Drosophila melanogaster: one gene and its partner. The protein of the gene in region 1 purifies or fractionates together with the protein of each later gene. This does not show direct contact. Each region holds a gene or a part of one and is shown in the gene's direction. Other genes may lie near its edges.

The links. Proteins that work in one complex are often made in the same cells at the same time.
Region 2: the proteins of Yp1 (region 1) and PPO1 purify together in Drosophila melanogaster (affinity purification with mass spectrometry, with the first as the bait; one large-scale study listed by BioGRID). This does not show direct contact.

What each region holds. Positions count from the first base shown.
Region 1 is NC_004354.4:10,051,840-10,055,594, forward strand, and holds Yp1 (yolk protein 1), read left to right. Parts: upstream 1-1,971; 5' UTR 1,972-2,077; coding exon 2,078-2,297; intron 2,298-2,374; coding exon 2,375-3,474; 3' UTR 3,475-3,659; downstream 3,660-3,755. Other genes in the region: Yp2 (yolk protein 2), read right to left, coding at 1-441, 510-744. UniProt on the Drosophila melanogaster protein: Vitellogenin is the major yolk protein of eggs where it is used as a food source during embryogenesis. Along with Yp2 and Yp3, and their receptor yl/yolkless, required for maintenance of microtubule plus-end orientation towards the posterior pole of oocytes.
Region 2 is NT_033778.4:17,887,994-17,891,748, reverse strand, and holds the start of PPO1 (prophenoloxidase 1), read left to right. Parts: upstream 1-1,775; 5' UTR 1,776-1,848; coding exon 1,849-2,204; intron 2,205-2,261; coding exon 2,262-2,397; intron 2,398-2,466; coding exon 2,467-2,961; intron 2,962-3,035; coding exon 3,036-3,669; intron 3,670-3,755.

The sequences.
Region 1 (3,755 bases):
CAATGTTCAGGGTGGCGTACTGCTCAAAGTCCTCGATGGCATTGCCCAGCTGAATCACAATCAGGTCTCCGGTCTTGGTATCATCCTGTTCACCGTTCTGCTTCCTGCGCTGCGTTTGCTGCTCCTCGCTGGAACTCCTCTGGCTCTGCTCCTCGTTGGAGTAGTCGGTGGTCTCATAGGGCTGGAGGTTGTAACGCTGCTGGTAGGCCTGCACCAGCTTCCTGGTAGCCTTCTGCACTTGGGTGTTGGTCTCGGGCAGGCCCTGGATGAAGATGGTGACCTCATCGTCGCCGAACTTCTGCTGGCGCTTAACCTTCTCCACCAAAGTGTTCAGGTTGAACTCGATCTTCTGGCCGCGCTCGCCGACAATGTAGCCCCTGATCTGGCTGGGTTCCGGGGTGTAATCGGGCTTGAAGACATGGTTGAACTGGGACAGATGGTCTGCGGGATAGGATAGTGCGTGTAAATATAACATGATTGGTAGAACTTTTAGAGATCCTTGAACTTACAGAGCTTGTCCAACAGCGTAGCGCCCTCCTCCAGGCTCATCTCCTGCAGCTTCTTAAGGGTAACCTCCTTCAGGTTGGGCAGCTCCTCGACTTCACGTGGATTGACCCAGTTGCTGGGCTGCTCCACATTGTCCAGGGAGTTGGATCGGCGACCGGAACGGTTACCAGATTGGGGATTACCCATGGCGACCGCCAGAAGGCAGGCCATAACGCAAAGGGTGCGCAGAGGATTCATTGTGGCTTCCAAGTTCGACTTTTTCAGACACCGTACCAAATTGTACTGCATACCCACTGCTGCGACTCAATGCATTTTATACCCCTTGGAATCGGTAGTCTATACACACTATAATGCACGCGCCGGAAGCAATTGATTTCAGCAACCGATTTCTGGATCAGCACAAATGCATTGATTCGCAGCGTCAGTGATTTTGCAACACTTCTGATGAGCTCTAAAATTTCGTTCCCCTTTTTTTTTTTTTTTTTTGGTTATTAAGTATCCATCGGGTAACAGGTAATGGGAAACTTCTTTAACCAGCACTTTCATAACATAAACAAAAGGTGGTCTGGCCATTAAGGGGCTTGACAGTGGGGGCACGACTTGAACTCATGCACAGGTCAAGATAAAGCTTTTGTTTGAAAAAAATATTTGGCAATTTTGTGAAATTTATGCAACTATTTAAGTGTTTGCCAAAAGAATTGTCTAAATTGTTCTATAAGCAGATAGCACTTTCAGGGAAATGCAAAATAAATATATTATAAATTATAATATTATAAATATAAATATTTACATCTATCGAAATATACATATATTTTTAATAAGTAGAATGAGTTACATGAAATAGCATCGATAAGATCATATATTATAAAACGAATCCCGGATATTAAAATAGAATCTCCTTGAAAAACGTTCCCCTGAATCAATTCATTTCTAAAGTCCAAAAACAAATATAATCTTACTATCTTGCCTTGGAAACTACAAACATTCCATACTTTTCGTATCAATGGCAAACATCTAGGAATCAATGAACTGTATCGGCCTTGAATTGAAAATGCAAAATTATGGACTTTTAATTAAGCAGAAGAAAAGTGCCAAATATAAATCTACTTATAAACAAAAAAAATCAATAAAATGTTGTATATAATAACCAACTAATGCCCATGTTAGATCTATATTTTATGCATTTATTTGATCAAATCCGGTGCACAACTACAATGTTGCAATCAGCGGAGCCTACAAAGTGATTACAAATTAAAATAATCAGGCGGCAGCAGGTGCTGCTAAGTCATCAGTGGGGTCAGCTATAGGTAGGCCCCGTGTCTATTTTGTATGTATACAATTTATTCCGCTATCGATAGCATATACACTCATCCGATTCCCAGGCACCCGAAAACCCTTACTCAGCACAAGTGACCGATTAAGGCCTGAGCCAGCGAAAAGCGAGTCAGAAAATGGGAAATCGCTCAGCGCAAATTGTGGTATATAAACCACCATCGTTGGATTTGGAAGGCCAGTTCAACTCACTCAGTGTTGAAGTCGCATCCGCAGGACCAAATCCCAAATCCGAACCATGAACCCCATGAGAGTGCTGAGCCTTCTGGCTTGCTTGGCGGTCGCCGCCTTGGCCAAGCCCAATGGCCGTATGGACAACTCCGTCAACCAGGCATTGAAGCCGTCGCAGTGGCTCTCCGGATCCCAGCTGGAGGCCATTCCCGCCCTCGACGATTTCACCATTGAGCGTCTGGAGAACATGAACCTGGAGCGTGGCGCCGAGCTGCTGCAGCAAGTCTGTGAGTAATCCTAGATGCAGATAAAAAAAAAAAAAAAAAACATCGAATATTCTATGGAATATATATATCCTTTGTAGACCACCTGTCGCAGATCCACCACAACGTTGAGCCCAACTATGTGCCCAGCGGCATCCAGGTCTATGTGCCCAAGCCCAATGGTGACAAGACCGTTGCTCCCCTGAACGAGATGATCCAGCGCCTGAAGCAGAAGCAGAACTTTGGTGAGGATGAGGTGACCATCATTGTGACCGGACTGCCCCAGACCAGCGAGACCGTGAAGAAGGCGACCAGGAAGCTGGTTCAGGCTTACATGCAGCGCTACAATCTGCAGCAGCAGCGCCAGCACGGCAAGAACGGCAACCAGGACTACCAGGATCAGAGCAACGAACAGAGGAAGAACCAGAGGACCAGCAGCGAGGAGGACTACAGCGAGGAGGTTAAGAACGCCAAGACCCAAAGCGGCGACATCATTGTGATCGATTTGGGCTCCAAGCTGAACACCTATGAGCGTTATGCCATGCTCGACATTGAGAAGACCGGCGCCAAGATCGGCAAGTGGATCGTCCAGATGGTCAACGAGTTGGACATGCCCTTCGATACCATTCACCTGATTGGCCAGAATGTGGGTGCCCATGTTGCCGGTGCCGCTGCCCAGGAATTCACCCGTCTCACCGGACACAAGCTGCGCCGTGTCACCGGTCTGGATCCCTCCAAGATCGTGGCCAAGAGCAAGAACACCCTGACCGGTCTGGCTCGCGGTGATGCTGAATTCGTTGACGCCATCCACACCTCGGTCTACGGCATGGGCACCCCCATCCGCTCCGGTGATGTTGACTTCTATCCCAATGGACCTGCCGCCGGTGTTCCCGGAGCCAGCAACGTGGTGGAGGCCGCCATGCGTGCCACCCGCTACTTCGCCGAGTCCGTGCGTCCCGGAAACGAGAGGAGCTTCCCCGCCGTGCCAGCCAACTCCCTGCAGCAGTACAAGCAGAACGATGGATTCGGCAAGCGTGCCTACATGGGCATCGATACCGCTCACGATCTCGAGGGTGACTACATTCTGCAGGTGAACCCCAAGTCTCCTTTCGGCCGCAACGCACCCGCCCAGAAGCAGAGCAGCTACCACGGTGTCCACCAGGCGTGGAACACCAACCAGGACAGCAAGGACTACCAGTAAGGATGAGTCTGCTTACTCTGGACACCTGGAATGGCAACTACCAAACAACAAACAACCACCCAACCACACAAACACTGTAGTCCCTAAGTTGAACCCATATTGGCCCTTTTCTTGAGATTACCTAAACATTTAACGAGCACATCGCGAAATTCAGCAAATAAACGCTCGATAAAGAGCTTAAAAATATCTATTTTGTTTATCTTAAATCATTTAGGAACTATAATAGTCTAATAGATCATCCCAAAAAAAAGGGAACAAAATCAAAAGTAAATATCGTAGTT
Region 2 (3,755 bases), on another chromosome or scaffold:
ACTGCCGCAAATTCCTGCGGTTGGCCCACAACTAATGAATAGTTTGGAATGTTCTTTGGGGCGGAGGCATCATGTGTTTTCGAACCTGGCCGCAGAGTGCTTAAGCCAAAATGTAAAATTTAAGCCAGCGGGTAATTAACGCATACCCACAGCTCATTTTATGGACCAGACTTTCGCCCATAAAGCCAAACAGAAAGAGTGCTTGGCGCCTTTTACAAACTTGCGTGGTTTTTAAGACTTGTTGGTAAAAGTTTGGGTTTTTTCCTTTTTTTTTGTTCTGTTTCGCCGGTGAAAGCAGGCTCTGCACGTGTCCTGGCCTAAAGCTTTTGCTTTGGCCCATTTTCATTCTAATTCAATTCACACTGCCAAGTTCGCAGAAGCACACACTTTTCCACAATTTATAATTAATTAAAGCAAGTTTGTCTTTTGGGCTGGAATCTGGAGCACATTTGCCATGGCTGTCGTTGAATATTCAATGAAAAATTACATTGCTCGGATAAATGTTTGCGTGCAGTCAAGTGTTTTCTAGGAAAAGCCAACTTCAATATACTCTGCAATATATTACTATATTACATACATAAGTGGTATGCATGGTTTAAAAGAATCTACAAAAAATCGTATAAAATATTCTTGCCTAAGTTATTTCAAACAAAAATTCAATTGATGGTAGTCAAATTTGGCTTACATTGCTTACCGTACATAGTTCATAAACTGAAAAGATGGTGTATCTGCTGGAACATCGACATTAGCAAAACAAAGTCGAGCAGAAAAGTCATTTTCATGTTGTTATGGCCAGAGTGCAGAAATTGTGAAAATTCATCTTTTCAATTTTCGCCCGAAACCCGCACATTTATGCAAACTTGTTACGCTCGTTTTTGTTGCTGTCAATTTCACAGATTAATGCGCACACATTTCAACGCCAAAGTCGGCAGAAACATTTATTATTGACAATGGCCAAAAGTTTGGCCATTCGCTTTGCTTTTTGGCCAACATCGTTCATTTGGCCAGACGGCGTAGCGACAAAAATTGATTTACAGTATAGATATTTTAATCATCCAAGCTCTCTTGCCAGTTAGTTCTTAGTTACATTCAGCTACACACTGCCATTTCAAAAACCAAATTTATGGGCCATGTCGAAGGACGAGCCCTCTGCTCCAAGCCAAATTTATGGCCTCCCATTCGGCGATGGGCGGTTCTTTTTAAGGGGGCGTGGCAGCCTGTTGAGCAAGTATTCGGTGTTATTTCTATGCGAATAAGAAGCTTTTCCGGTGGCCTTCGGCTTGTTTACTTTGGGAGTTGTATTTCGCGTGGTCGCAAAAAGGTTTCTCGGATACTTTTTCGGCAAAGACAAAGAAATTCAATTTAAGCTTCCTACCCCGGAACTAATAACTCTTCAAAAAGTTGAAAACAATTAATTGGTTGTGGGTATACATTAGGCAGTGCAGTATTGAAAAAAAATCAGTATATGTATCTAACAAGCTCAATACAGTTTCACGTTTAACAACATTCAACTGAAAATCAACAATGGTATATTATTTTATGCAAGCAATTAAAAGTATTTCTCTTATCATTTTGCGGCTCAACAACTTTTGCGGTATTGCACTTTTTGCTTTTTCAGAAGCTATCGACTAAACCACAACGTTTGGATTTGTGAGAAAAAAGGCTCGACCATTGCAGTTTTGCGGTTGGGACTTGATAATGAATATTTTTAAAAATATTATTTTTATATTCGGACTGCTAGTTAGCTATAAAATGAGTTCGGCTTCCTGGGAAAATCACAGTTCTGCAACTGGCTTCGTTGAGTGAAGTTAAAAGTGTAGTTGAAAGTGTACATCCATAGAGAAAACCATGACTAACACGGATCTGAAAGCCTTGGAACTTATGTTCCAGCGACCCCTGGAACCGGCATTCACCACTCGTGACTCCGGAAAAACTGTATTGGAACTGCCCGATTCCTTCTATACGGATCGCTATCGCAATGACACCGAGGAGGTGGGCAATCGATTCTCTAAGGACGTGGATCTGAAGATCCCAATTCAGGAGTTGAGCAACGTTCCCAGTCTGGAGTTCACCAAAAAGATTGGTCTCAAGAATCAATTTTCGCTGTTTAACAATCGCCATCGTGAGATCGCCAGCGAGCTGATCACCCTCTTCATGAGCGCACCAAATCTCAGACAATTCGTGTCGCTTTCCGTTTACACCAAGTAAGTACTTGTACTAAAATAAATATATATGTATTGTATAATGTATTAATTTTTTAGGGATCGTGTGAATCCTGTGTTGTTCCAATACGCCTATGCCGTCGCCGTTGCCCATCGCCCGGATACGCGTGAAGTGCCCATTACCAACATTTCCCAGATCTTTCCGAGCAACTTTGTAGAACCTTCCGCCTTCCGGGTTCGTTTAAGTTCTTCTTTATTTGACCAATCAAAGTCTTTAATGGTGTATTTATAAATTTGACCACAGGATGCCCGTCAGGAAGCTTCTGTTATTGGAGAGAGCGGCGCTCGTGTCCATGTGGACATTCCGCAAAACTACACGGCCTCGGATCGCGAGGATGAACAGCGCCTGGCGTACTTCCGTGAGGACATCGGTGTTAATAGCCATCATTGGCACTGGCACTTGGTCTACCCGACCACCGGACCCACGGAGGTGGTCAACAAGGATCGTCGTGGCGAGCTCTTCTACTACATGCACCACCAGATACTCGCGCGCTACAATGTGGAGCGCTTCTGCAACAATCTGAAGAAGGTTCAGCCGCTGAACAATCTGCGTGTGGAGGTTCCCGAGGGCTACTTCCCCAAGATCCTGTCCAGCACGAATAACCGCACCTATCCCGCCCGAGTGACCAACCAAAAGCTGAGGGACGTGGACCGCCATGATGGGCGTGTGGAGATCTCCGATGTGGAGCGCTGGCGTGATCGCGTGCTGGCTGCCATAGATCAAGGATACGTTGAAGATGTGAGTTGGGCCCGTTTGGAATATTGAGCATAGGTCATAGAAAGCACTAGAAATTTTTATTTGCTAATCCATAGTCTTCTGGCAATCGTATACCATTGGACGAAGTTCGTGGCATCGATATCCTGGGCAACATGATTGAGGCATCGCCAGTCCTATCCATCAACTATAATTTCTATGGCAATCTACACAACGAGGGGCACAACATAATCTCCTTTGCCCACGATCCCGATTACCGTCACTTGGAGGAATTCGGTGTGATGGGCGATGTGACCACGGCCATGAGGGATCCAATCTTCTACAGGTGGCACGGATTCATCGACACGGTGTTCAACAAATTCAAGACTCGCCTGAACCCGTACAATGCCGGTGAGCTTAACTTCGATGGTATTACCGTGGACTACATTGAGGCCAAGATTGGCAAGTCCAATACCAAGGCCAACACCCTGTTGACCTACTGGCAGAAGTCGAGTGCCGACTTGGCAGCTGGCCTGGACTTTGGACCAACGACCGATCGCAACATATTCGCCTCGTTCACCCATCTCCAGAATGCCCCCTTCACTTATACATTCAATGTGACCAATAATGGAGCCAGACGAACGGGTACTTGCCGTATCTTCATCTGCCCCAAGGTGGATGAGCGTAATCAGGCTTTGAATCTGGAGGAGCAGCGACTGTTGGCCATCGAAATGGACAAGTTCACAGTTGATTGTGAGTAATAACTGTATTTCTTAGTATATATATTTATTTAATATTTTGGTATTTAAAAAGTGTTTCTTTCGTACAAAGCTAGCCAG